Canis lupus familiaris: one gene and its partners. The protein of the gene in region 1 interacts with the protein of each later gene in a biochemical or structural test. Links are inferred from orthologs where the notes say so. Each region holds a gene or a part of one and is shown in the gene's direction. Other genes may lie near its edges.

What was found.
Region 2: the proteins of RAF1 (region 1) and PEBP1 form a complex in vitro, tested with the Homo sapiens proteins (3 studies listed by BioGRID and IntAct, with this or other methods). The link is inferred for Canis lupus familiaris from reciprocal best matches to the Homo sapiens genes RAF1 and PEBP1.
Region 3: the proteins of RAF1 (region 1) and BAG1 form a complex in vitro, tested with the Homo sapiens proteins (2 studies listed by BioGRID). The link is inferred for Canis lupus familiaris from reciprocal best matches to the Homo sapiens genes RAF1 and BAG1.

The regions. Positions count from the first base shown.
Region 1 is NC_049241.1:5,965,633-5,969,725, forward strand, and holds the start of RAF1 (RAF proto-oncogene serine/threonine-protein kinase), read left to right. Parts: upstream 1-1,246; 5' UTR 1,247-1,612; intron 1,613-3,419; exon of another isoform or gene 3,420-3,627; intron 3,628-4,093. UniProt on the Homo sapiens protein: Serine/threonine-protein kinase that acts as a regulatory link between the membrane-associated Ras GTPases and the MAPK/ERK cascade, and this critical regulatory link functions as a switch determining cell fate decisions including proliferation, differentiation, apoptosis, survival and oncogenic transformation.
Region 2 is NC_049247.1:14,854,869-14,859,143, forward strand, and holds the start of PEBP1 (phosphatidylethanolamine-binding protein 1), read left to right. Parts: upstream 1-1,348; coding exon 1,349-1,483; intron 1,484-2,854; coding exon 2,855-2,964; intron 2,965-3,571; coding exon 3,572-3,672; intron 3,673-4,275.
Region 3 is NC_049232.1:50,587,442-50,590,279, reverse strand, and holds part of BAG1 (BAG family molecular chaperone regulator 1), read left to right. Parts: intron 1-814; coding exon 815-922; intron 923-1,942; coding exon 1,943-2,005; intron 2,006-2,508; coding exon 2,509-2,598; 3' UTR 2,599-2,838. UniProt on the Homo sapiens protein: Co-chaperone for HSP70 and HSC70 chaperone proteins. Acts as a nucleotide-exchange factor (NEF) promoting the release of ADP from the HSP70 and HSC70 proteins thereby triggering client/substrate protein release.

The DNA.
Region 1 (4,093 bases):
GTGAGGTAGACATATTACTCTTAAAAAAACAAAAAAAAAACAACCAACCAACCACTCTCATGGACCTTCTATATTCAATGCCCTCTGCTCTTTCCTCTGTATTTATTCTCCTGTCGGTCCTCACGGAGTTGTCTTTATCTCACATCGCTTCACCTTCATTTTTCTATACACTGCACGTTATTACTATTTGAATTTATTATTTTTACTTTCGGTCTCTGTTATAAACTAGAAGGTAGGGCTTCTGATTGTGGCTTTCCCAATACCCAGAACAATGTGTGGTATACAACAGGCTCTCATAGAACATTTAAACAAATGAACGTTGCACACGGCATTGGGTAGTTTCGTGTGCCTGTGTTGGAACGAGTAAGAACGTAGCATACAAAACGTTCTACTCACCAAAAAAAAAAAAAAAAAAGTAATGTTTTGGATTAAAAAAAAAAATCCGTGCATAGATCCTGCTCCTTCCTTTCTTTCATTTCTTTCTTTTTTCAGAGATTCATTTGAGAGAGAGCACAAGCTGGGGGAAGAGTCAGACTCCCGGCGGCGCAGGGCGCCCCAGGCGAGGCTCCATTCCGGGACTCCGGGATCCCGACCTGAGCCCGGGGCGGAGGGGGAGCGCCCCGCCCCACCCCACCCCCCGCCCCTGCCCCCCGCGCTGCGGACGTAGCGCTGCTTAGTTATTCCACTCAATTAACTCACATCTTTTCCAGTGTCGTGTCTAATGCAAACAATAGGGCAACACACATCTTAGCACATGCCTGCGTGTGCCATGGGTACACAGGTCTCTAAAATTAGCATCTTAGAAAAGCGAAGTTGCTAGAAACTGAGGCTCAGACAACTCCTCTGGTCGGGAGGCCTGGCGGGCTCCGAGCATGGGACTCCGGATCGCGGAGACTCGCGTTCGCCTCCCACGCAGGCTGTCGGGATTACTTACTTATATAAAGAAACTTAAAAAAAAAAAAAAAAAAAAAAAAAAAAAGGGGAGACGTTCCTCTCGCCACGACGCCTCTCGCCCTCCGGGGAGTCCAAACCCCGGCTCTTCCCGGCCTCCTACCCCCTCTCCCGGGCGCCGGCCACCACCGCTCCCACCGCCCCCACGGCCCCGAAATGGCGACGGGCGACAGCGCGAGGCCACGCCCCCCGGGAGGCGGGGCCCGCGTTCAGGCTAGAGTGATAGATGCCCGAGCCAAGTGTGCCGTCCGCGGCCAGGCCGGCTCGCGCAGAAGCAGAAAGCCGGTGGCGCCGCAGGTCGGGAGGAGGAGCGCCGAATGCAGGGCTTCTTTGCCGGGGCCGCCCGAGAGGCTCTTCGTCGCGGGCGTTGGGGCCGCCATCTTAGATGGCGGGAGTGAGACGAGGGCGAGCGTGAGACGGGAAGGCTCTCCTGCCGCTCTCCTTGGGCCCGGAAGAGGGCCAGCTGGCCCGGCTTTGGGGCGTGTGCCCCGAGGCGCGGAGCGCGAGTGCGACGATGCGGGGACTGCCCGGGGCCCCGTCCCCTGGGCTGGGGACGCGCCGAATGTGACCGCCTCCCGCTCCCTCACCCGCCGCGGGGAGGAGGAGCGGACCAGACGCCGCCGCCGGACGACGGGACACGGAGGCGGCTCGGCTCCTTCAGGTGGGCGGCAGGGCCGGGCCCTGGGTGCCGGGGGAGCCAGGCGGCGGGGCCGAGGGGGCAGAGTTCCGCGGCGTCCAGGCCTGGGCCGCGCTGATGGAGCTTCCCCGCGGCTGCCGGGGGAGCGCCGGGCCAGGCCGCTGTCACCCCGGGTGGCGCTGGGCGGGCGGGCGCCCTGGGGCCCGGTGTCATGGCCGGCGAGCCGACTTTCCACATCCCCACTCCAATTTCCTTGTGTTTCGGGGAGACGTGCTAGCGCCACCCTGTACTCGGTGCACATTCCTTATATTTTGGCCATGGGAGAAGTCCGCCCCAGAATTGCCCTGTTCTAGGTGTTGTCATTCGGAGGGACTAATTCCTTTTTCTTCTGGGCGCGGAGGGGGTCGCGGTCGCGCATCTGGTCCGAGGCCGTCCCTCAAGTGACACCCTTGCAGGGGGGACGAGAAGAATCGGGGACGAGAGGAGGTGGGTCAGTGCCCCACCAACAAAGGCATAGGGGGCTTTGCCCTGGGTTTGGGGACTCTGTGGGTCACTGATGAAAGGTTTGGAATGCGTATCTTGAGGTTTGGCCCTGGGATGCTTTGGAACGAAGATCCAGCGCTGTCTTTTGTGTAAAGTGAGATCCGCCAGGGCGCTTCGGTTCTGCAGCTGCAGAGGTTTTGCAGAGCTAGTCGATGCCCAGAAAGAGTTTGGACATCAGGAGCGGAGAGGCGGCTGTGTTCATTCATTGTTCTCCTTCCAGGGCCCTGGGTGTGCCCTCTGGTATTCATTTCTCCGGTGGGAAGCGTGTTAGAAGCCCCTCTGTCTGCTTGGGATGTGACCGGGTTCTAGAGGGTCTAATCCAAGGGACGAATTCAGCTCACGTTCATGGAGTATTTCTGCTTGCCTCGTCCTCTGTGGGCTGAGTGGAGGGAACCTGCTCGTCTTTCTTTCCCAAGGCGTGAAAACAATGCACTGTGATAAGGATGGACTTACCGAGCGTAGTGGGAATTTGGAACTGCTAGTTTTGCCTGGGGGAGTCGAGGAAGCCTGAACACTGGAGGGAACTTTTGCGGCCAGTTTTGGACTGACTGATGAGTAAATGCTTACCAGGTGAGGAGGCGGGGAGCGCAGTCTAAGGTGAGGGAGCCGCTGGTACAGAGGCACAGACACGCAAGAGTTGGGATGACTTTGGGGCGCAGCAAGTCATCTAGGGCTCAGGAAGGAAGCGGTGAGGGAGGAGGGTCTAAAAGAAAGGTTGTAAAGGGTCTTTGTTGGAGAGAGTGAACTAGTTGATTTAATTTGGATTATTTTAAATGAATATTCTAATTTTTTCATGGTGATGACTCATTTTCCTCTTGTCTTGATGATGTTGAAGCTGGTAGAAATTGAAAAGATTTACTTTGTTAAACTCATTTAAGAACATTTTTGATAAGCGCTTTATGTCAGATGTTTTGCGCTTACACAGCGGTGAATCAACTGATCTTCATATTCTTAGGTGTTCTAGTAAAAGATTTTTCTAAGGTTTTACTTGCTCACCAAAATGTTGACTTTATGCATGTAGTGCACGCTGCTAATACTGTATTTTAAATGGCCGTTGGCAATAAAAACCACACTCCCCAGTCATGTAGGAATTGGGAGATTATGTGAAACAGTCGAAAGTATTTTTAATTTATTAAGTATGTTGTATATAGTAAACTTGCTTTGCAATGATTCCGTGGTTTCCAATTTTGTTATAAAGTCATTAGCTCTATAAGCATAATTTACCCCAAATCGTTGTATTGTTGTGATTAATGCATATGCTAAAGTGCATTTATTTTGGTCTTAACAGACTTCAGTTAGCAGTTCCTGAGTTTTTCTTGGGTTGTGATGATTATATGCCACTGAAGAACGCTAAAATACTTTTGGCTTGTCTTCATCCTTATCACTTCATGGGCTGTGCTGTTTAAAATGCAACAGAAACATTTGACCCAATTGAACACTGGATACTTGGGAAAATAAACCTGTTAGTGTTTCTGCTGGAAAAGCTTATCTTTTAGGTATGTGGTGTTTGTGATTAAAAATTGTAATGGGGTTGCTTAGCCTTGTTAAAACTTTTGTCAGTAGTTGAAAAGTGTAAGCTTTCAAAGTAGGCTTGAGTGAAATACGTTTGAATATATTTTGTGGGATTTGGTTTAGCAGAAGAAAACAGGAAAACAGACTAAGCTGGTTATTTATGATGAAAAGTATCTAAAAGATGAAATGGAGAATGGAACATCACGTATTGTATTACAACTGCTCTGAAACTAGTTGTGTTTAGTTTAAAACATGCCATTTGTGAAATCCAAAGTAGATGGTTTGCTCAGAACATTAAACATCAACTTCTTGGAAGTTAAATTTGACTTTTCCAGAAGTACTAGGTTACTTATTAAATGGAAAATACAGTTAATAACTCTAAATTACTATTTCAGGTATTTTGTTAGTAGTAGATTATAGTATATTTTAATTTCAGATAAAACTGTTAGT
Region 2 (4,275 bases), on another chromosome or scaffold:
TTTCCTGAAACTATCTACCAAGTGTTTCTAATATATGTGTATAACGATGTTCATTTCCTTGATATTTATAAAAAGGAAAAATCAACAAAAAGCATGAATGTCCAACATCAAGAGAATTGTTGAATAAATTGTGGTGCATTTAGAAGTCATTAAAATAATGATCTATTTTTTTATATAGTCTATAATGGTAGAATTTATTTTTTAGAAGGAGGCTTACAGGGAGAGAGATAGAATCTTAAGCAGGATCCACATCCAGCACCAGCCACAGGATCCTATGATCTTTAGATCATGACCTCAGCAGAAACTGAGTATGAGGCTTAGCCAACTGAGCCACCCAGGGTTCTCTATAACGGAGTTTAATGCAATTTTTTGGTGAATAAATGGAATGAAATTATTGTTACTGATGTTTATATCCAAATAGTGGAATAAAAATTTTTACTTTTAGGTTTTTTCCTCTGAATTTTCTACAATGAACTTGTATATAAACACTAAAAACAAGAGAATTTTTTAATTCCCTAGGCAGGAGAGGTTATCACTGTCAATAGCTGTCCTAACATCAACAGGATAAGGACTATTAAATAGTACCCATTATATTTAGTAAAAAGAAAGCATTTGTTGGCCACCGGGAGAGCAGTTTTGGCAGAGGTAGAGCCCCTTGTCAGCAAAACAGGAGTTAAGAATGGTTCGAAAATTTAATTAAAAAAAAAAAAATCACTTCCCAGGAATCTTGTTTGCACCAAGCAGGGGCAAGGAGATCAAATATATGTGTAAATATATTTGCGCGTTGAGAAGAATGCTCAAAAGTTCGACACAGGCCCTCTCATGCAGCAGTTACCAAAACAGTGAGCATGCGCAAAAGTACAGAGAGGCGAGAGCAAACAAGCTGGCTGTGAGAAGTGGGGAGAATAGCAAGGCTTTTTCTGCACTTAAAAAATAGACAAAGAATCCTGCAAAGTGGTAAAACAAAACAAAACAAAATTCAAAGCAATTTTTGTTTCATTTCTTGAAACAAGGGGCCTTGCAAACCGAGCCACAGCTCCCATGGGCCCCGGCGGCGGCGGGTAGCAAATTACTCACGCTGCGAACAGAAAGGCAAAACCTACGCGTTGACCCGGAGCACGAGACGCCTCGCGCTACCCGCTTTAACCAATTAGAGAGCAGAGTGGGTCGGGCCTCACCTGTGATTGCAGCAGCCGGTGGGGCGGGACTGGGGCCCCGCGCCTGCGCCTCCCCAGCGCTGGGCCCGCGCCTCCTCCGGCCAGTTTGCTGACTGCTGGCAGTCGGTGCTGCGTGCCTGTGTCCCGTCTGCAGAAACTCTTCCCTCTCATCTGCTCAGCTCGGCTCCGTGATGCCGGTGGACCTCGGCAAGTGGTCCGGGCCTTTGAGCCTGCAGGAAGTGGAGGAGCGGCCGCAGCATGCGCTGCATGTCAAATACACCGGGACGGAGGTCGACGAGCTGGGCAAAGTGCTGACGCCCACCCAGGTACCCAAGGGCGCAGGGGGTGCAGCTGCTCGAGGTGTGGAGCCGGCGGGGCGGGGGGCCGGCGGAGGTGGGGAGGAGGGTCCGGCCTGCGCGCGCCGGCTCCTGCGAGGGGAGGGCGTCGCGGTGCCCACCCCGCAGGCCTAAGGACACCTGCGGGCACCTGCGGGCACCCGCACGTGGCGGGCGGGCTCGGCCTGCAGGAGACAGTGATCTACTTCCCGGGCACTTCAAGGCGTAGGCTGGGGCGTAGGCCCAGAAACAGCTCGGGGCCACGGGCAGGGGGCCTGGCGCGGGGGCGAGGAGGCGGCGGTGCCCGAGAAGTGCTGGGTCGTGGCCACCCCTTGGGCTCCAGACCTCCCCTCAGGTCTCAGGATTTTAGGCCTCAGTTTGGGGAGCAAAAGCCCCATCCGAAGGCATGTGACGCATTATGTAACCGGTGACCAGCATCGCTCAGCGATTCTTCCTTTTGTCTTCGCGGGCTAGGGCACGAAGCCACCCAAAGCTAAGCAAGCCTTGTGCAGCTGGAAGGCTCTAGGGCAACGGCCTTGTTCTGCCGTTTGGCGCGCGACCAGGTCAGGTTCTGGCGACCGCAAGTAGGAAAACTAAAGCGTCCAGTACTTGCCAGTTGTTGGTCGTGAAACTCCGGGACAATGATGTGAATCAACTGCGCTGACAGTTTATTGCTTTGGATATTTACACAGCTTATTGCTTTAGATGTTTAAATATAAAGTGCCCCTCTGGCAGCCTGCCATTTTCCCGGATGCACTGTCCAGTCTGGCCACCTCGACTTTCTCATTTTCTGTGCACTTTTAAGTGTCCAGTTAATTCAGATTTCACTTTAGCAGGCCCTAGCTCAGCTGCTGGTCACCAGATCTAGAAACTCGGTCATTCCATACCATATGAGGTTGTAGTTTGGAAGACTCCATCACCACCAGGGTTGAGATCCTTTCTGTTAATAACATGCCAGCCCTATACTGTTGTTGGAACTAAAATAAATTAATGTATATTGAATTTAAGCTCCTGGCTTTTAGCAGAGTCAATACTTTAGCGTTTATTAATAATCTACTGTGTTTTACCTCTGAAGAACCTGAAATCAAATAGCGTTGGCTTCTTTTTTTTTTTTTAAGGAGTTTTTTTTTTTTTTTTTTTTTTTTTTTTATGATAGTCACAGAGAGAGAGAGAGGCAGAGACATAGGCAGAGGGAGAAGCAGGCTCTATGCACCGGGAGCCCGATGTGGGATTCAATCCCGGGTCTCCAGGATTGCGCCCTGGGCCAAAGGCAGGCGCCAAACCGCTGCGCCACCCAGGGATCCCTAGCGTTGGCTTCTTCAGCATTTTTCTTTTTAACTCCAAAGTGGTTCCTTCCTACAGGTTAAGAACCGGCCCACCAGTATTGCATGGGATGGTCTTGATCCAGGTAAACTCTACACCTTGGTCCTGACAGATCCAGACGCTCCCAGCAGGAAGGACCCCAAATACAGGCAAGTTGAGGAAAGATTGGGAAGCACCAGGTCATCCAAGTATGATCTGGTGCTTCCTGGCAGTGTGTAAAACCCTTGCTGGACATGCTGTGCCAGCAGAATTAGACCCCGTTTGGGATGGTTGCACCCACGCTTAAGCCATTTCCTCCTCCTTCAGTCCCTAGAGCAGGAGTCTGGAAACTATAGTGGAGAGCTACATCGGCCCAACACCTGTTTTTGTATAGCCTCATGGGCTAAGAATGGTTTTTACATTTTTAAGTGATTGAAATTGAAAGAATAATACTTTGTTAACGTGTGAAAATTACATGAAATTCAAATTTCAGTGTGCATGGCAAAGACTAAAACGTTTATTGTCTGGTCCTGTGGAAAAAAATTTGCTTGATACTGCTTAGAGCATCTTGGAGGGAGAGAAGGAGGGAGGGGGGTACGGGGCCCTCTCTTCTACAGACCAAGTGAGGTTTGTGCCTACGAGGGCAGGACTCTCAGTCTCGTTCATCACTGCAGCCTAGTTCAGAGCATGTGTTTCATTGCATGTTTCACAGCATGCTGGCTGTGCAGTGAGTGTGTACTTACTTCCTGTGGTGCTGTCTTGTGTTCCTCGTCCTAGGGAATGGCACCATTTTCTGGTGGTCAACATGAAGGGCAACGACATTAGCAGTGGCACAGTCCTTTCCGATTATGTCGGCTCTGGGCCTCCCAAGGGCACAGGTCAGTAAAGGTTGCTTTGTGGGGGAGGTGGGAGTGGCAGTGTGTACACATTAGGATTGGCCCAAAGGGCTGCAAAGTTTAGTCTGGTTCTCCCAATCCCTTAGCCTAGCGGAGCTTTCAGACAGTGTAGTTCACCTTCCGGGCAGTGGCCTGCCAGAGACATTGACACCTACAGTAGCATCGGGTGGCTAGAATCTTGGGTTGTGGTCAGGTGGATTGTCCATTAGTACTGCCTCTCAGCCACTAGGTCTTTATATGCGGGAAAGTCTGAGAGAGGATTCTAAGGAAGCAGTGTTGCAGAAAGCTTGGAACAACTTTCAGGAGAGGTGGGGGCTGGGGGGTGGGGGGTAGGATGTGCTGCTGCACATGGATTGAATGCAGTTAACCCATCTAAGTTCTGTATTCAGCCTTTGACCTGTGGGATCTTTGAGTTTCCACTTCCCACAAAAGATCTCAGAAATGATCATAGTTTCCTAATTATAAGACATTGGCTTCTTTATCTCTTTGTAGTTCCGTTGTGTCAAAAATCTAGGGTGGTATCATCTTGAAAAGATTTGGAAGGCTTTAAGAAGTATACTAAAGATACACACATGGTATTGTGTT
Region 3 (2,838 bases), on another chromosome or scaffold:
GGCAGCCCCAATGGCTCAGCGGTTTAGTGCTCCCTTCAGCCTGGGGTGTGATCCTGGAGACCTGGGATCGAGTCCCACGTTGGGCTCCCTGCATGGAGCCTGCTTCTCCCCCTGCCTGTGTCTCTGCCTCTCTCTGTGTGTGTCTCTCATAAATAAATAAATAAAATCTTTTAAAAAAATTAAAAAATAAAAAATAAATAAAAATGAGGACATTAAGGCTCAGAGAGGTTGAGTAACTTGTACAAGATCACAAGCCAGTAAATGACAGAATTCAAGCCTGGGCCTATCAGACTCTACACCTTGTATTTTGTTTTGTTTTGTGGCTTAAAGATTTTATCTACTTATTTGACTGAGAGAAAAAGAGAGCACAAGCAGGGGAATTGACAGGCAGAGGGAGAAGCAGGCTACCCACTCAGCAGAGAGCCTGAGGCAGGGCTCGATCCCAGGACCCCTGGATCATGACCTGAGTTGAAGGCAGATGCTTAATGGACTGAGCCACTCGGGCATCCCTACACCTTATGTTCTTAACATCTGCTTCTATGTGGGTATACACTGGTGACTGAAGGCTTCATCGGAGCCAGGGCTCAGGAGGCATTAGCAGCCCCAGTGGGCCGTGTGAGATAGTGGCCTGCAGCCTATTACAGTGCTTTGGGTGGCTCTGTTTTTTCCAAGAGATGAAATTCTGGGTTTGAGGTCTGGACTAGCCTATTGGGGGGAATGTGGGCTCAGTGTGTGGCTACTTCATCAGTGCCTTGGCATGAAGTTTTCTGTCAGCCTCAAGGAACCCTTGCAAGAATGCATTATTCCTGTACAGGGTTTTCTGGCCAAGGATTTGCAAGCTGAAGCTCTCTGCAAACTTGATAAGAGAGTAAAAGCCACAATCGAGCAATTTATGAAGATCTTGGAAGAGATTGACACACTGGTAAGTAAATATTCAGCTGAGAAGAACTAGTTTCCTTTGACTCTTTTTTTTTTTTTTTTTTTTTTTTTTAGATTTTATTTATTTATTCATGAGAGACACAGAGAGAGAGAGAGAGGCAGAGACACAGGCAGAGGGAGAAGCAGGCTCCATGCAGGGAACCCGATGCGGGACCCCATCCCGGGTCTCCAGGATCACACCCTGGGCCAAAGGCAGCGCTAAGCTGCTGAGCCACCTGGGCTGCCCTCCTTTGACTCTTTTTCAGTGAGTTTCACTCTTTCAGTAAAGCACTCTTACTGTCTGAGGATATTGAGCACCTGCTGTGTGCGAGACACTGCTCAGTCCTTGGTAGATACACAGAAAGACAAGATAGTTCCTGATTTTTAAGCAGTCACATCCACCAACGTAGGGCTTTTGTCATTTTTATATTTCCTAAAAGCATCTAATCCTCACAAAGTTGGAACCCAAATGGACTGTGATTTTATGGCCAGAGAAACAGAGGGCTTCATGATACTCATATGACTGGTGATTCCATTGGGTTCATTATCTGTAAAGAATTCAGCCAGACTCAGTCTCTTGTGAGACTATTGGGAATCATCAACTCCATGATCCCTTTTACAGAAAAGATGGTAATGATATTTCCAGCTAGATGCCTCATTTTTGAGGGTGAATTACTCTGCATAGGATTCTCGGGGAGTGAGGGAGGTTGTAAAGAATAAGCACAGTGAGCTCATGGCATGGCCAGGACGTAGTATCTGTACATAGAAAGGAGAGAAAGGACAAAGTCCATGGTACAGATCAGTTTCCATGGCCCAGACACTGAGAGCAAAGGGAGCTTTTATAGGGGTGAGAGCCATGGGAAGGGCCATGTGGAATACAGATCAAGGGAGGAAATCATTCCTGAAAATGCAAGTCTCGTTCATGTTGGTGACTTATGATGCATTTGGTGTACTGTGGGTATTTCATCATGTTGTTATGTCATTCTTACTGAGATTATTTATGTGTCAATTTATTCTTCCACAGATTCTGCCGGAAAATTTCAAAGACAGTAGACTGAAAAGGAAGGGTTTGGTGAAAAGGGTTCAGGTGAGCTGTGTGATCAAGCATTCAAAGTTTAATGTGTGTGTTTATCTGTTCAGAGTAGGGTAGGGCAAAAGTGTGATGTGTGGTATGGACATTTTTTGGTTGTTATTTCATGAGTCCAGAATCTAAGAGAAGAGCTCCTTTCATGTCCCTGTAATTGTATTTGAATTTAAATTAATTGGGGAGGAAGATTGTTGGAGAGCAGTTATAGCTGCCATATGACACAATTTCAGGAGGCACTATTCATGTTCCCTGAAATTGTGCAGTACAGTGGCAAGGCTTCCTGTCCTCACCACCCCTCTGGAGGATTGTTGTCAGAAACCCTGCTCCTACACTGGCCTCTGCCTCCCTCCCCTTATCTGGGAGCCCAGGCTGGCTCCATTCCTCTATAGCCTGTTTTAAATCATTCACCCAGGGGTTCCCCATAATGGCTGAGCAAGAGCCTTGTATGGGCAGGGAATGGCTAGTCCTGGATGGTCCCTCACTGCCCTGCATTCACGTTTTAGGCATTCCTGGCTGAGTGTGACACTGTGGAGCAGAACATCTGCCAGGAGACAGAGCGGCTGCAGTCCACAAACTTGGCTCTGGCCGAGTGAGGTGAGGCGGAGAGAGGCTGGGCCGCCCTGAAGAACAGCTCCACCAGCTCTGCCCTCTCTGGGACAGAAGTGACCTGATTTCACCAGGGCCGCTGGGGACAATTGGCCACTTGCCAGTTTTCCTGAACCTACCCCTGTTCTCGATGAACAAGTGTTGTCTGCAGTCCTAAGTAGAGCCCCTGTCTGTTTTCTCATTGTTTCTCTGTGTGGCTGCGCTGTCCAGCAGCCTACCTTGTCTGG